4 linked regions of the Mus musculus genome follow. The protein of the gene in region 2 binds, or shares a complex with, the protein of the main gene of each other region. Links are inferred from orthologs where the notes say so. Each region holds a gene or a part of one and is shown on either strand. Other genes may lie near its edges. The genes, in order: Eif3g, Eif3i, Eif3f and Eif3d.

Region 1 (4,122 bases), on a different chromosome or scaffold from region 2:
AACCAATGGGAGCAGGATACGTGTAAGGCAAAACCATGTTCCCAGGTAAACCCCCCATTTCTGAATCCTGATTGGTGATGTGACTTGGCCCAGATGTTTGTGGATTTGAGGCTTAAAAACCCTGCAGGATCTTAAGTCAGGGTCACAGTTCAGGTCCTGAATCTGGACTGTGGCCCTGGTTAACCAGTCCTGACATGTATGCTCAATAAAGTGCCTCTCTCTGACTGAGACTGGGGCTCGTGTGGTCTGTGAGGGGACTCCTGGACCACAGCAGGAGGCTGGCTGCCAAGCCTGAAGGCCTGAGATCAATCCCAAGACCCACATAGTGGAAGGAGAGACTGTCTGCAAAGTGTCCCCTGACCTCCATGTGTGCTATGTATGCACAAGCATGCTGTCTTCAAATAATACAAACGCACAACAAGGTTGTAGGATAAACCCTAGCATGCTACACAGCAAAGGAGGCACAGGAGACCAGGTGGCCTCTTATTCAAAGAAAGGACGTCTTAGCACAGGACAAAAGGGTTTGGTCTGAGTCTGTTTCTTCTTCAACAAACCAGAATCCTGGTATCCTCTAAACGATGTGGGGCGAGGGCATTCTTGATACACGTGCTTTTCAGCCAAGCTTGTTGGCACACAATTATAGCCCCAGCTATTTGTGAATTCCTTGCGTTTAGGAGTTCAGGGGCAAGCCTGGGGAACAAAGCAAGACACCTTTAGTTTTGGAGACAGAGTCGCATGGAGCGCAGGCTAGTCTGGAATCCACGAGGTAGCTGAAAATGGCCTTTAACTCATAATTTTCCAGCTTCCACCTCCAGCACTGCGATTACTGATGGCTGAAAACTAATTCTCCGGGAAGAGGGAGAGAACGAATCAGTTCCGGGTGTGGCGATTTCATGTTCATATTCCCAGCACGGACGAGAGTAAGGTGGAAAGACAGCTATGAATTCAAGGCCACCCTGGGAATACTGCTCGTGAGCCTGTACTTTCAGCCTTTTGGAGTTGAGACAGGATTGTGAGGCTATCCTATCTATAGAGTGAGACACTCACGTCTAGCCCCATTACCCAAAGGGGGAAAAAAAAAGTTTAAAAAGTTCTTTGAAGCTTTTTTTTGGACCCCTTTTCCAGGTTGGATCTCAGCGCTTTGCGGTGCGCGAGAGCCGCGTGTCCACCTTTGTCCGCAGGGAGGCGCTGTGCTCACCGCGGTCTGGCCGCTCTAGGCTGCGGCCGCGGCACCGGAAGCCTCTTCTACTCCGGCTTCCTGTCTTTACCCGGGCTGGGAGCTGCGTGGAGTTAAGACTTCGAGATGCCGACTGGCGACTTTGAGTATGCGTGGGGTGGCGATGGGGTCGCCGGGGAGGCCGCGTGGGGGCTGCTCTGGGGTGCGTGGGGGTCTGGGCGGCGCGGGGGGCCGGGACCCGCTCACCAATCTCCTGTCCCCGCAGCTCGAAGCCCAGCTGGGCCGACCAGGTGGAGGAGGAGGGAGAGGACGGTGAGTGCCGAGCGTGGCCGCGCCCGCTGCCTGTTCCCGGGGCCCACGCTCCGGCTAGGGCCGCGCGTGGCCAGCCCCACCCTCGCCCTGCGCTGTGCCCCCGGTGCAACCCGCAAACACACAACACACACACACACACACTCTCTCTCTGACTTGAAAGTTCCCGTCCCGTGGCTCACTCTACCTTCCTCCCCGAATTCCCTCTGGCAGACAAATGTGTCACCAGCGAGCTCCTGAAAGGAATCCCTCTGCCCACCGGGGACACCAGTCCAGAGCCCGAGTTACTGCCCGGAGGTGAGCAGTGTCCATCCCTGCCTGCTTCCTCTTCCCTTCCGACTCTCAAGCCTACTTTCCAGCCAGTCCCCATTACCCGGGAATCAGTTTCTGTCATCTTCCTCCAGACCCGCTGCCACCTCCCAAGGAAGTCATCAATGGGAACATAAAGACAGTGACTGAGTACAAGATAGAGGAAGATGGGAAGAAATTCAAGGTGAGGTCGAAGTGGACACATAGGGCCAGTGCCTTTGTGTTCAGGGGTTCAGGTGGAGGGGTGTCAGTGGCTGAGACAGGGCCTGAGGCTCTGGAAGCACTCCTCTCTTATTCATCTTCAGATTGTCAGAACCTTCAGGATTGAGACCCGGAAGGCATCAAAGGCTGTGGCAAGGAGGAAGGTGAGATTCTACCTCATTTGGGGGGTAGGGTGTTCTCTGGGGCTGATCCTGAGGAGTTGGGAAGCCCCTTTTTGTTGATGTGGAGTAAACGTTTAGTGTTAGGCCTTGAAAGGTTAGGGCCCAGGAGTAGATGAAGTTAGATGCTTTATTTATTCATTTACTTTTGTTTTTTTATTGTTCTCCTTTTGTGTGCGGATGTGCGCAGCATCATCCCCCCCAGCACATGGCACAGCATACTTTTGGTTTGAGCTGGTCTCTCGGTATTAGGAACTAGACTAGGCTTGCTGGGCACTAACAGCCCCAGGGACCCTGCTGTCCCCACTTCCTGTCTGGCCTGCACCGGGAATGCAAGTTTGCCTCTGTGCACAGTGTTTGACTGTGGGTGCTCGGGGTCAGAGTCTGACGGACACTTGTGTGACAGACACTGTACTGAGACATACCCAGCCCTCTTGGGTTTTATTGTTTGTAGTTTGTTTTTCCAGACAGGGTTTCTCTGTGTAGCCCTAGCTGTTCTGAACTCACTCTGTGGTCTAGGCTGACCTTGAACTCATAGATCCACATGCATTAGGATTAAAGGCATTGCCACCATTTGCTGGCTTGTTATTTTTGAGAGGCTCTAGCTCTGGTCTTCATTCTAAATGCTTCTGCCTCAGCCTCCTGCATCCTGACCTCCATTCTCTCTCCTTTGACCTGTCTACATGAAGAAGCAAGCAGCCTCTACTTACCTAGGGGGGAGGGCTTGTAGAGGAGGGACAGCGACGCTTGAGAGCAAGGTCCCGTGCCAGCGTTCAGCAAGACACAGCTTCTCAGGCTCCAGGCCAGCTTAGGGAGGCAGGGAGCTTTGTGGCCCCTGTTTTACAGGCAGGAAATGAGTTTCAGGTTTAACTGGCTCGGTTCCTAAGGTCTGGGTGATTCCTCCTTTGTCCCTGGTGGGAGGCTGGCCATGGAGCAGCCCAGAAACTGCCAGCGGCACAGTGGAGCCCTGTACTCAACCTTTTTTTTTTTTTTTTTTCTCAAGACAGGGTTTCTCTGTATAGCCCTAGCTGTCCTGGAACTCACTCTGTAGACCAGGCTGGCCTCGAACTCAGAAATCTGCCTGCCTCTGCCTCCCTCCCAAGGGCTGGGATTAAAAGCGTGCGCCACCATGCCCAGCATGTACTTAACCTTTTATATGAGTGTTAGAAAGTGTACTGCACGTTTTCACACGAGCTACCTTACCAGCACCTACCTCAGATAACTCAGGCTGGTTTTGAGCTTGCGTGTCTTGAGGTCCTCCTGTTTGCACCTGGCAAGTGTTGGGGTGACAGTTGTGTGCCACTGTGTTTAGCTTAGGGAATGGGGATTGTCACCATTACCACAGGGAAGGCCTCTAGAGAGACTAGATCTTCGGATTCAAGGCCCCGGAATGGTTGTCTGTCTGGGGTACCCACTGCAGGATCCTTCCTGTCTTTTCCTCACTTCTCCCCATTGTTTTCTGGGAGCCCAGAATTGGAAGAAGTTTGGCAACTCGGAGTTTGACCCACCGGGGCCCAATGTGGCCACTACCACAGTCAGTGATGACGTCTCTATGACATTCATCACTAGCAAAGAGGTGAGCTGGGTGAAGCTGGAGCCTGAGAAATGCAGTGGGGGTGGTGTGGGCCGGGCCCAGCAGCCTCCTCTGAGCCTTCCCTCCCTATACCCCACCAGGACCTAAACTGTCAGGAGGAGGAGGACCCAATGAACAAGCTTAAGGGCCAGAAGATTGTGTCCTGCCGCATTTGCAAGGGCGACCATTGGACCACCCGTTGCCCCTACAAGGACACACTAGGACCCATGCAGAAGGAGCTGGCTGAGCAGCTCGGCCTGTCTACTGGGGAGAAGGAGAAACTGCCAGGAGGTGTGGACGTGGGGACCTGGGAGGGTCTCAGCTGTTCTGTGGTAGTGTGCTCTTCTCTTCCCTGCATTACCTGTGGCCAAGTT
Region 2 (4,137 bases):
TGGGATCAAAGGCATGCGTCACCACGCCCAGCCAGGTGGATCTCTTAAGGCCTACCTGGTCTGCAGAGAGTTCCAAGACAGCCAACGCTACCATAGTGAGACAATGTCTTGAAAACCAAAAAACAGGGGCTGGAGAGATGGCTCAGTAGTTAAGAGCACTGACTGTTCTTCCAGAGGTCCTGAGTTCAAATCCTAGCAACCACATGGTGGCTCACAACCATCTGTAATGGGATCTGATGTCCTCTTCTGGTGTGTCTGAAGATAGTTACTGTGTACTCACACATATAAAATAAATAAACCTTAAAAAAATTTAAAAAGAAAAAAAAAGAAAACCAAAAACCAAACCAAAAACCCCTAAACAAACAAACAAACAAACAAACAAAGCTGGAGAGATGGCTCAGTCGTTAGAGCAATGGCTGCTCTTCCAGAAGACCCAGTTAGGTTCCTAGCACCCACATAGTAGCTCGCAACCATTTATAACTCCTGTCCTAAGGGATCTGCGGCCTTCTGTCATTTAAAGGAAAATGGCTAGCAAAGTACACACAAGGTACACAGACACATATGCAGCAAAACACCCATACAAATAAAACCAATCTTTAAGCTGGGCAGTAGTGGCGCATGCCTCTAATCCCAGCACTCAGGAGGCAGAGACCAGCCTGGTCTACAGAGTGACAGTCCAGGACAGCCAGGGCTATAAAGAGAAACCCTGTCTTGAAAAACAAACAAAAAAAAAAAAAAAAAAAAAACCCAAAAACCAAAAAACACCAAAACCAAAACCCCTAATCTTTAGGGAAAAGAAAAATGATAAAAAAGATTAAAAAAAAAAAAAAAGGTTGAAGAACAACTTAAGACCTGATGCCTCCATTTGTCCCTACTCCTGTGCACACAGATTCACCACGCACATATATACAAATAAGAATACATAGTCCACCTAGTCCATATCTTCTTGGAAGCCATCAGAGCATCTCCCAGGTCAGTCCCAAAGAGACTTTCTCACTTTTACCTCAGAGTGCCCTGACCTCTGAATTCCCAAACTTGAACCTGTCCTAGTTTCCCACAGGATGAAGTAGCTGGGAGTAGGGAGTGTTATTCTCTAGACCGCCACAACATGCCAAAGCCAGTATCTCCAAGGCTGGCTAACCCATGGCCAAAAGGATACAGTCAGCATCCACGCACCACACAGCTCCAGTGTGGCCCATGTAGGTGCCTAGCCTCTCCCCATTGACAGAGTACCACACGTTGACGATCTGGAAAGAGTAAAATGATAGGATGGTCACATCCCAAAATAATCAATAGCTTAGCTTGCACTACAAACCCTCTGCAGGCTCTAGCCAAGCCAGGTTTGCCTTCTGCTCATTTACCAGTGAAGAGCTGATAGGACCGCCCAGCTCCTGGGTTCTCCTCCTTTCCTAACATAAGCTGTAGAAGAGCCAGGCCTCCAATAGCATCCTCATGTGCTTTTGTCTGGAGTCAGAAGAGGTAAAGGCCAACCTGAGTTGCAGTGTGAAAAAAAACCTTTCGGGTCCTGTTCAATTGACTCCGGATGACAGTAAGGATGTATGGGCTCCACTGCTTTGTCACTAGCTCACTGTGTGATCTTAAATACAGAGCTCCCTTCCTTTAAATGGCTAGGAGAGCTGAAGAGAAGGCTCAGAGCTTAAAGAGCACTGGCTGCTCCTCCAGATGACTTGGGTTTGATTCCCAACACCCACATGATGGCTTACAACAATCTGTATCTGCAGTTCCAGGAGATTTGATATCCTCTTCTGGCCTTCACAGGCACCAGGCACTCACATGCTATGTAGACATACAATGCAGCAAAGCACCCATACACATAAAATAAACAAAATCATTACACACACATACATTAAAAAAAAAAAATGACTGGGAGGGGCTGTGTGTGGTAGCACACACTTGTATTCCCAAGACCAGGAGGCTGAGGCAGGAGGATGGAGAGGTGTGCTGGCCACCATGGACAGATACCCCACTCTTGTCAACAGCTTTCTTCAAAGGGCAGCTGTGAAGCTCCAATGAAACCATGTCTATGAAACTTAAAATAAGTGACTTACATGCATCGGGTACAGTGCAAAACGATTTACAGAAATGACCTCACTCTGCTGAGGGAGCTAATTAAAGTCTCCATGTTTTATTAAAAGGGAAAACTGTGGTTTATAGAAAAGGTAAATGTCATGTTCAAAGTCACACTGCTTAGTAGGAGCAGGAGTTAGGGCTCAGATCTCAAGCTCCGACTTAACTCTCCACTGTTAACTATCAGTTTATTGCCTCCAATGCAAATGCCTCAAAAGACAATCCCCAAAGGAAACAAAGTGGGATTGAACAGACCACTTGATTCTGTCCTGTCCTGTCCCTGGGCTCCCTTCCAGTCTCCTGATTCTCTTCTCCCTGGCTAGGTACCCTTCCCTTCCAGATTTCCCTGGCGGAATGCTGTCGCCAACCTACCGCGGTATGGGGTTGGTTTTCCCTACTTATCAGAAAAATTTCCCTCCCGCAGGCAGTAAACCTTGTCCACCCGCAGTCCGGGCGGCGCGAACTCGCCCCCTCCGGGCCCCCCGCCCCGGACCCCCGGCCGCCCGCCCTCACGCAGTCGCTCACAGGGTCTTTGGCCACGGTGAAGAGAAGGTCTCCTTCGCGGTTATACTTGATCTGCGTGATGGACCGCTCATGGCCCTGCAGCAGGATGGGTTTCTGTGGGGACAGAACCGGGGTGTCAGTGCCGGGAACCCCGTCCCATGCCTACTGAGGCCCCCCGACGGCAGCACGCCGCGCCTGGAACTCACCATCCTGGCGGTGACGCGAGGAGAGAGGCAATGTGAGTGGGACCGGAAAAAGACTAGGGACGACTTCCGGATGCGGGGGCTCCGCCCTCTCGCTCCCGGAAGTAGAAGGGCCTGGCGTTTTCATGGCGGCGTCCTGGGGTGGGTAGCCGGGCCCCCCACCTCCGCGGGCTCCGACTCTGGCTCGGGAGCTCTGTTCTCAGTCTCCTGGCATCCCCGAGCCTCAGGAATGCTGAGCCACGCACCCTGGTCTCACTTCGGCCGCCCTCTGGGCGGGTCCTCCCGACCGATCACAGCCCGGCGGGAAGAGGGAGGGAGGGAGATGGAGCCGGGCAGCAGGGTGCAGGAGGCCGGAGGAGGACCCGGGTGACTTTCTGACCCTTTGCTTTCAGGGCAGGTGCTTGCTCTGGTGCTGGTGGCCGCACTGTGGGGTGGCACGCAGCCGCTGCTGAAGCGAGCCTCCTCCGGCCTGGAGCAAGTGCGTGAGCGGACGTGGGCCTGGCAGCTGTTGCAGGAGATAAAGGCTCTCTTCGGGAATACTGAGGTGCGTCTAGCTCTCACGGACGAGCCCCTGAAAATTTCACCATAGGTCGGCCGTATTCCCAGCCCATCTCTTACTCACTAGAAGTTCCTGGAAGAGTCATTTATCCTCTGTGAGTCTGTTTCGTCAAAAAAATGGAAAATTTAATGATAACCCTTGTATAGGGCTGATATAAGAACTCAAGTAAGACACATAAAACACTTAGCATTGGGCCTAGTACAGGGTACATGTTCAATCAATGACTATTTTTGCTTATTGTTTGTTTTTGGAGACAGGGTTTCTCTGTGTATCCCTGGCTACCCTGAACTCACTAGCCTCGAATTCAGAGATCAGCCTGCATCTGACTCCTGAGTGCTGGGATTAAAGGCGCCACCACTGCCAGGCTCCAGGACTACTCTTAAGGTCATCATCACCAAGTTGAGCTTTCTTTCGGCTCAACTTGCCCTGGGGTAGAACATAAGGAAAGCTATCGAGAACTGCCCATGGCTGCCTATGTAAGCTAGCTAGATATGCCCTACTCTGAGGGTTAGGGGGAAGGAGAGAGGTACTATATTTATAGTACTGTGTGAATTCTGTACAGAGAGATGAAGCTGGAGGACATGGAGTGGGCTACTTAGAAGGGGTAACACTGTCACTCAAGGCCTTATACCAGCAGGGACGATGGGAACTGGCCATGACGAGGGAGAGGGCATTTAAGGCAATAGAGTACATTGAATGCGTTTCTCTGTTTGCTCTAAGGGGTCTTCAAACACATGAGCGGTCCCTGAGCATTTGTAACCATGCCAACCCCCGTGGGAAGGT
Region 3 (4,199 bases), on a different chromosome or scaffold from region 2:
TACAAAGTGAGTTCCAGGACAGCCAGGGCTATACAGAGAAACCCTGTCTCAAAAAACCAAAAAATAAAAATAAAAAATGAAAATATTTATTTATCTATTACACACACACACACACTGTCCCTATCTTCAGACACACCAGAAGGAGGCATCAGATCCTATTACAAATGATTGTAAGCCACTGTGTAGTTGCTGGGAATTGAACTTAGGACCTTTGGAAGAGGTTATTGCAGAGAATCTGCGTTGAGGTTCTAGCAAGGGGAAGGGGTTGGTTGGTGGCTTACAGCTACTCACAACTCTAGTTGTGTTCCTAACCGCTGAGCCATCTCTCCAGTACCAGCATAGGAGTCTTCATAATTAGCTCCTGGCCCTGCTTAGAGATCTATCCTTTCTTTTGATAATGCCATTTAACCACCAAATTCTTTCTTTAAATGTACTAGTCTTGCTCTCATTCACCTTAAGCCCTCTACATGAACTGTTCACTCCACCAGAAGAGCTCTCCCTACAAAACCCCAAATAATAGTTGGCTGCCTGAATTCTTCAAGTTTCCACTCCAACTTGATACCCTCATTGTATCCTACTCTAACCCTTCATAATCTTTCATGCTCTCATAACCTCCACTGATCATTTCTTTCTCATAGCACAGTCAAATAGTAATAATAATTTACTGTGTATCGAAGCACTTTCTAACCTAATGTAGGATTTAGTCCTTTTCTCTCCCCCAAAGAGAATGCAACCCTTTGCTATTTAGTTCACTTATATACCCTAGCATATAAGAGAGAGTCTGGTGCATATTAAGCATTTAAATTGTTGAATGAATATGCCTCCCTAATGATGCCTTATGAAGCCATCACAAATAAAGCACTATTGGTCAGGCATGATGATTCCTGCCTATAGTCCTAGCATTCGGGAAGCAGAGGCAGGAAAGTTGAGGTAAGTTCCAGGCCAACCTAACCTATATGGCTAGGCGTGGAATGCAAAGTAGATCCTGAGTCCAAATTTTAATTCATTGATTAATAAGTTAAATGGATGTAACAGTGAATCCCCTGTAAGACTGATATTTAATATCCATTTAAGTCTTAAACAATTGCGACCTTTACACTACTCTGTGCCGCCACCTGGTGGCAACTGTGTAGATTGCTAGTTGCTTCCTCCCCATTCCCACCCCAGGAAGTCCTAAAGTTACTAGGAACTACTCTGGACTCCTACACACTGAGTGCGCATCGGACAGAAATTAAAGCGCACACCGCGCACTAAAACTTACAACTAGCCGGAAATTTCATGTCCAATAGTCATCAAGATATGATTCACGTGGTATAAATTTAGCCAATCAAATTTCTAATTCCTCCAACTCACGCTCTTCTGTTCTAGGCTCTCTCTCTTTCTCGGCAAGATGGCTTCTCCGGCCGTACCGGCTAATGTCCCTCCTGCCACTGCAGCCGCAGCCCCGGCGCCGGTCGTCACCGCAGCCCCGGCTTCAGCCCCGACCCCATCCACGCCAGCTCCGACACCGGCTGCGACTCCCGCTGCGTCCCCGGCGCCCGTCTCGTCTGATCCTGCTGTAGCTGCGCCTGCAGCCCCGGGCCAGACCCCAGCCTCCGCGCCAGCCCCAGCGCAGACGCCGGCGCCTTCGCAGCCCGGGCCCGCCCTCCCGGGGCCTTTCCCGGGCGGCCGCGTGGTCAGGCTACACCCCGTCATTTTGGCCTCGATCGTGGACAGCTACGAACGCCGCAACGAGGGAGCTGCCCGAGTTATTGGAACCCTGTTGGGTGAGTTCTGGGGAAATTAATGTTTTCTTCCTGTGCATCTTACTATTCCTCTCGTTCCATCGCCCCTGAACTCTTAGCCTGTTTCTCTTTTTGCACCTTCCTACTGTGGCTTGCCTTCCCGAGTGATCTGAATTCAGCCGAATTGCCGTTAAGCCACAGAAATGTGCAAGGAGTAGGTATAAGCTATTGCGTAGTTTGTGATACTTGATCTACATGTTATTTTATACTCCCAACAACGTGGTACTGAGAGGGCATGCTGCCAAAAATGAAAGCTCAAATGACAGCAAGTTCAAAGCCCTTGACCCGTTAAACAGAGTACCCACATGCCCTCTCTTATGCAGTGACCTACCACCACCCCAGCACAAACAGAAAGTGCCCACCACCCATGTTAGGGAAGAGGATGTGTCAGAAGCTTCCTCCAACTCAAATAAACCAGGTATATTTGTAACATATTCTGGATATATAATATCTAGCTTTCCTAAACTTTTCAGACAGGCACGTGTCCCAAGGTTTTCCTACATACTGGTTCATAAACCCTAGATATGCTCAGCTCCAAGTTCTACCCCCACCCCCAACCCCCACCTCACTCCTCTGATTTTTCATTTGGACACAGACTGTTGTTGTATTATGTGTCCGTCGCTAACCTTCAAGATGAAGAGAAGCCAACTATCTGAAGAGGTTGGCATCCCAGGCTTACGGGAGGGTGGCAGGAAGTGAAGCCCTCAGTGGTTTGGTCACCTGCCTGTGGGGCAGGACTCACAGGGAGCTGAGAAGACTCCTCCAGGCTGGTCTCTGCAGAGGCCCATGACCAGCACTCATTCCAGAGCCGAGGCAGGGGAAACTAGAGAACATGCCTGCTTTGTGGAAAGTAGTAGACCTGAGTTGGGCCTGGACAGCAGATTGAGGGCTGAAGCAGAGCACCTGCAAAGGGGAGGCAGAGAGAGGCAGAGAGTGGACGCAAGGAAATAGAGCTCGCAGGTCAAGGCGTGACAGAACTGCAGCATGAGAGGGGTTTGGGTGAGTTCTAGAGCTGCCGTTGTGCATACAAGAAGAAAGGACAGAGTGTGGCTTGGGCTTGGTATTCCTTGTGAGGTGCCCCTGAGTGTACCAGTGGGTTGGTCAAGTAGAAAATTGAGTAAGCAGGGCTGCCAGGGCGCTTCACTGCCTGCCCGTGCTTCACTTCCCAGAGCCCACATGATGGAAGGAGAAAACCTGCAGACGGTCCTCTGACTTCCATGGGCAAGCAGTTGCACATCCATAATTAATCAGTATAAAAGAAAGGCAAATTTTAACAGTACGTGTGAAGATGCAAATGTAAAGAGGTGTGGGCAAGTATGCCCTAGCCCCCAGAAGATAAGTAACTGAAATAAAGAGGTAGATGTACTCACCTACCACAGGGATTGGTAGCTGTGTTTTTAAAAAAAGTCAGGGAATATTTTCAGCTTTGTGTGCAGTCTGTCACAGCTACTCAACTCTGCCCTTGTAGCAGGAAAAGAGCCATAAATAATGCAAAAGAGATTGGGCACATAAACATGAACTGAAGTGTTTCTGGGCCAGTACTTGACCTAGAAAAGAAGCATAGAACAAAAACTGGGAACACTAACAATGCTGAAACCCTGAGGTGTCAGAGGAGCTAACAGATTAGGAAGAGAAGGGGAAAAGCTAGAAGAGACTGGTATCTTGGAGGCCCTAGGAGAAAAGGCTCTGAAATGGGGGAAGCAGTCACAGTGGTCAAAGTTGGTGAGTGTTCAGATGACAGAAGGTATACCTGTGGGTTAAGAACCTTGTCTTAGGGTTCCATTGCTGTGAACAGACACCATGACCAAGGCAGCATTTCACTGTGGCTGCTTACTGGTTCTGAGGTTCAGTCCATTATCATCAAGGTGGGAAGCATGGCAGCATCCAGGCGGGCATGGCACTGGAGAAGGAGCTGAGAGTTCCATGTCTTATTCAAGGGAACCCAGAAGAAGACTGGGCTTCGTCCCACCCGGCTAGAAGGAGGGTCTCAAAGCCCACTCCCACAGTGGCACACCTAGTCCAACAAGGCCATACCTCCTGTTAGCACCACTCTCTGGGCCAAGCATATTCAAACCACCACATAGTTCAGAAAATGAAACCATAACGCTAGCCAACAAAAGACAACACTAGCAGAGACATGTTACAAGGGGTAGGGGGTGAGGAACTTAAAGGAAGGTACCAGGACATCAAGTGAGAATAGTTGGGACCTATGGCTCAGTGAGATCCAGTAACTAATGTGAGAGTTAGGGGTGTGAGAGGAAGTCTGGTAAGAAAACCTCTGGGGGTGGAATGACCCTTTCACAGAAGATCATCAGAAAACACAAGTATTTCAATTACATTTATAACAGTAGCAAAATTGTAGTTATGAATTATCAATGAAAATAATTTTATGGTTAAGGGTTACCACAACATGAT
Region 4 (4,286 bases), on a different chromosome or scaffold from region 2:
TAGGACCCAGACAGTGACAGTAAACCTTTGGGGCAGAAAGTACAGCAAGTGTGGGACCTGCTGGGAGAGGAATGAGAGCAGGGTCGTGGTGGCCAGAGCAGAGGTTGTTCAGAAGGGCAGGGAGATGTCAGGCCACATCTTCCCTCGGAAGTGTGGGAAGAGCTTTGAGCATCCTGAGGAGCAACCCACTGGGAGTATGAATGGTTCGAACAATGAGGGAGATGGTACTATGAGGGCAGACAGCACTCAGGTACGGCTGAAGTTACAACACAGACAGGCTAGTCCCAATGTGGTGGGAAATTTAAGTTAATGACGAGGACCCAGCAGGACCCACCAAATCCTGAGAACACAAATTGGGGAAACGGGAAGGCAAGCTCATTGGTAAATTAGTGAAATGGGTAATCCCACCAACATTACCATTTCCAACACAGGTAGAGGCCAAATCACCTGATCAAATTCATCCCAGTGGTATCCACGGTAAGGACCCGAATGTGGAAATGTCCTTTGACAACCATTTATTTTACAATTTATTATCTAGCATTTCCAGTTTCATTAAGGGAGGAGGGGAGAGAGATGTCAGATATGAAGGCCATAAAACTACACTTGGCTGACCCTGGACACCACATGTATCTAAGATGTTTTTTTTTTTTCTTTTTTTAAAGATGTATTTTCTAATCAAGGAGATCTGCTGAGAAACTATCAAGGAAACATAAACAGCAGGCAGAAGGGACCAGCTTTTTAAAAAACGCCCATCCCGAGTCTCTTTCCAGACGGCTGCAGGGGGTGGAAGACGCCAAGAGGTCACACTGACCCGCACCCTGTGAACTGTGATGATCAATTAAGACGTAGCTTGGATAGCCCCGATCTGAATATCGATTTAGAGCGAGGCACTCTAAATCTGCTTTAAAAAATAGCGACCAGAAATCTCCGTTGAAAGACGCTTGTGACCTGTGGGACAAAGGTTTGAGTCCTAGCGGGCACCCCGAAGCTCTAGCAACCCGGACTAGGCAGGTCATTTGCCACCCTGCGTTGGGGCCACAAGTGACAAGCACACGAAACGCGCCGGGCCACTCTCCAGATAACGATCAGCCAGACCGACGACCACGCTGGGGCCAGCGAGCGCGGCGGGGCATTGTGGGAGGCAGAGGAGGCGAGCCTGGCGCGAAGCATTATGGGACACCGCGGGGACAGCTCCGACTCCCCGCCCCGGCTTCTCTGGCCCCGAGCGTGACCACGATTCAGTTCTGAACCTCTCCGGGCGTCCCCAGACGCCACTGACGTAATCCCCTCACTTGTGTCTGGCACCTCAGGGGCGAACGAGGATTTTTTTTTTTTTTTTTTTTAAAGCCGAGAGCTGTGACACACTTCCGGTTGTGTCTCACTTTACGGCTTGACATTTTTCCGCTGACTAAGAAGGAAGTGGTAGGGCCATTTACGACAGCGCTGGTCGCCGTTTACGGCACCGGCCCCTGCGCGCGCATCTTCCCTCCTGCCTTGACTCCTCGGAGTATCCCGGCAATCGCAGTTTTTTCCCCGGGCCATCTGTCGCCATCCGGGCCCGTGAAGGCTTTTGCAGGTGAGCGGCTTGTTTCGTGGGACCCTGCGGACCTCGCGAGCCAGCCTGGGCTAGACGTGGCTTCGGGAGCTCCCGGAAGAGCCTTCCTTTACGTCCTGTCGCCTGTGCCCCTCCGCTGGGCGGGGCGGGAATTGGCCCCCGGTGGTCCCAGGCACGACTCAGAATGCAGGACACCGGACCTTGTGTGTGGATCCCTCGCTCGGCGCTCTGCTCAGCGCCGTGGGGTGGGTTGTGGGGCGACGTAGCCTCCTCTAGGGGTTCGAACAGATTGTTTCTGTGCTCCGAAATGGGGGGCTGAGAGTAGGTTCCAGCTCTGATCGGAAACGGAGCCCAGGAGTTAATGGCCCCCACCTGTAGTGTCCCCAGTGACCCACACTGTATTGTGGCCAATACAGCTGTCGCGCCGTTTTACTTTTCCCCTACTGCTTTCTTTCTGATTCACGTGTGCAGTAGCCGAAGGACCAAACCCTGTCCATCCAGGGAGATAGATGATGATGCACATCAGGCCTTGAGCCATCTTGAACTTGTGACAACTCAAGTTTACAGTTGCTTTGGGGGCAGCCTGTTGGGTATGGCTTAAAGCCCCAGGTGGTCAGGCTGCCAGCTACCCACAGTATAACCAGAAGGAGGTCGGGCCTAAGTAGACAGCCTTGGAAACTTTTTGAAGGGATGGGCAGATGGACTCCTTAAGTTAGCAGAGCTAGCTTTGTGTCTCAAAGATGGGGTGTGTGGTAGCAGTCGGTGGTAAAGCGTCCAGCACAGCACCCCAACATCCTGGGGCCTCTTACTTCATGTCAGCTGTTTGAAGGCCACCACACCCCACCACCACCACCTCACCCTCTCTCCCACAACCCCGTGTTCTTCCTACAACTTAGCATACGTTCATATTTGGAGGGTGAAGCTCCTGGGTTTACTCTTGTCCGTGTCACCTAAGTATCACCAGCTTCCGTGTGTCAGAGGAGGAGGAGAGGCTACTGAGCTCTAATGGTGGACAATTTCAGGTTTCTTGTGTGTGGTCAATGCATGGGTTTTTTTTTTTTCCTTTTGTTGTTTGCTTTGGTTTTTGATGGGAAGTGTCCAGCAAGCCCCTGGATTATACAGCTATTAGCTTTTACTTTCCTAAAATGAGCTGTGGTATATACTATATACTGCGGGGCCAAAGCTACACTGCCTGTGTTCAAATTTTCTTACCCAGAAAATGGGACTGGCCCCACGGGATTGTCCGAAGGGTTTAGTGAGCGCGTGTGCTGTAAGCGGTCAGAACAGTGTCCTGGTGCTCCTGCGTATGGACATTTGACACTCGGCCGCTTTTGCTCTGAAGTTTGTGACCACCTTGGTCACCAATGGTCCTTTTGCTTGGCTGCATGCACTGTACAGGACTTGTGCTGATGGAAAATTGGAAGGGTGGGGTCTGATTGAGGGTTCAGGGGATGGTCTTGTTTGGTTGGTTTTAGTCCTTTATTTTTAGGATTTTGTTGTTGCTGTCTGTGTATGCACGTGTGTGGGAGTTTGTGCTGTGGCATTCTGCTGGAGAAGGCCACGTGTGGGGGTCTGTTCTCACTTTCCACTTTGGTTCCACCTTTACTTGTGGCACCATCTCAGCAGCCCGAGGGTCTTTAAAGCACTGTGTGCCGGTGCCTTTGTGTAACTGAGTGGTAATTGTGCAGGGTGACAATCACCAAGACTTTGACCGAGGCCCTCTGATGGAGACTGGGTTTAGAGACATTTGCTGTTGGGTGCTTTGGTGAAGGTGTTTCGGGGAATTCACTACTCTTACCTCCTTGAATAATTGAAGACACCTTTATCATATGTTCTACTGAGAAAGACGGGACACCCCATCAAGGAAAGGCACAGCTTCATTGCAAAGATGTTCACCAAAGAACCTGTCCTAGAATCAGTGAGACATAGGAAAATGTCGCTGGTGTTGGCAGGGTTCTGCGTTTTGAGTGTTCTTTGAACAGTTTACAGGAAAACCCTGTCCACAGTGCTCGAGAGCCAGGGTGCACCTCTGCAGTGCAGCTTCAGTGGAGGGTGGAGTGTTTGGAACTTGGCGGCCTTCCTTCTGAAACTTCTCACACTGCTTGTGTTCACAGGTTTTAGAAGATGGCGAAGTTCATGACACCTGTGATCCAGGACAACCCCTCAGGCTGGGGTCCCTGTGCCGTTCCTGAGCAATTTCGGGATATGCCCTACCAGCCATTCAGCAAAGGAGATCGGCTGGGAAAGGTATTGGGTCCCTTCAGCTGGGGCAGCTACTCCACAGTTCCCCACTGCCTTTCTAGTCTCTTGATGGATATCCTTCCTTTGGGGCTACCACCTAAGGAAGGCCCTGACCTCCAGAATGAGTCAGAGCCAGGGTAGCCACGTGCAGAGCATCAGAGGCGACACTGATGCCTTTTGTCGCTGTCGATGTCAGCAGAAGTCTACTCGCCTGACCTGTTGTCTTCCTTGTCCCTCACAGGTTGCAGACTGGACAGGGGCCACATACCAGGACAAGAGGTACACAAGTAAGTGGTCCTCGGCGGCCCGTCCACATCTGGGTCTTGGGAAGCTCATTACTTTTTTCAGTAAGCCCCACATGAAAGGTTTTTAGAAAGGAAAGGAAATGGTAATGGTAGTTATTGGAAGTATATTCTGGAATAGAGTGTACACAAACCATGATTTTTAGTCCCAGGATGGCCAGAGATTCCTGAAAGCTACTTTGCATTCT

Evidence for each region.
Region 1: Eif3i (region 2) and Eif3g share a complex: the UniProt entries of both Homo sapiens proteins name them as parts of the eukaryotic translation initiation factor 3 (eIF-3) complex. The link is inferred for Mus musculus from reciprocal best matches to the Homo sapiens genes EIF3I and EIF3G.
Region 3: Eif3i (region 2) and Eif3f share a complex: the UniProt entries of both Homo sapiens proteins name them as parts of the eukaryotic translation initiation factor 3 (eIF-3) complex. The link is inferred for Mus musculus from reciprocal best matches to the Homo sapiens genes EIF3I and EIF3F.
Region 4: Eif3i (region 2) and Eif3d share a complex: the UniProt entries of both Homo sapiens proteins name them as parts of the eukaryotic translation initiation factor 3 (eIF-3) complex. The link is inferred for Mus musculus from reciprocal best matches to the Homo sapiens genes EIF3I and EIF3D.

What each region holds. Positions count from the first base shown.
Region 1 is NC_000075.6:20,895,745-20,899,866, reverse strand, and holds the start of Eif3g (eukaryotic translation initiation factor 3 subunit G), read left to right. Parts: upstream 1-1,276; 5' UTR 1,277-1,303; coding exon 1,304-1,323; intron 1,324-1,442; coding exon 1,443-1,489; intron 1,490-1,699; coding exon 1,700-1,783; intron 1,784-1,890; coding exon 1,891-1,979; intron 1,980-2,100; coding exon 2,101-2,160; intron 2,161-3,646; coding exon 3,647-3,751; intron 3,752-3,849; coding exon 3,850-4,039; intron 4,040-4,122. UniProt on the Homo sapiens protein: RNA-binding component of the eukaryotic translation initiation factor 3 (eIF-3) complex, which is required for several steps in the initiation of protein synthesis.
Region 2 is NC_000070.6:129,597,796-129,601,932, forward strand, and holds the start of Eif3i (eukaryotic translation initiation factor 3 subunit I), read right to left. Parts: upstream 2,854-4,137; 5' UTR 2,802-2,853; coding exon 2,799-2,801; intron 2,707-2,798; coding exon 2,614-2,706; intron 1,248-2,613; coding exon 1,160-1,247; intron 1-1,159. Other genes in the region: Tmem234 (transmembrane protein 234 isoform 1 precursor), read left to right, coding at 2,921-2,936, 3,188-3,339. UniProt on the Homo sapiens protein: Component of the eukaryotic translation initiation factor 3 (eIF-3) complex, which is required for several steps in the initiation of protein synthesis.
Region 3 is NC_000073.6:108,933,042-108,937,240, forward strand, and holds the start of Eif3f (eukaryotic translation initiation factor 3 subunit F), read left to right. Parts: upstream 1-1,373; 5' UTR 1,374-1,390; coding exon 1,391-1,766; intron 1,767-4,199. UniProt on the Homo sapiens protein: Component of the eukaryotic translation initiation factor 3 (eIF-3) complex, which is required for several steps in the initiation of protein synthesis.
Region 4 is NC_000081.6:77,967,973-77,972,258, reverse strand, and holds the start of Eif3d (eukaryotic translation initiation factor 3 subunit D), read left to right. Parts: upstream 1-1,434; 5' UTR 1,435-1,576; exon of another isoform or gene 1,577-1,800; intron 1,801-3,669; 5' UTR 3,670-3,679; coding exon 3,680-3,802; intron 3,803-4,037; coding exon 4,038-4,083; intron 4,084-4,286. UniProt on the Homo sapiens protein: mRNA cap-binding component of the eukaryotic translation initiation factor 3 (eIF-3) complex, a complex required for several steps in the initiation of protein synthesis of a specialized repertoire of mRNAs.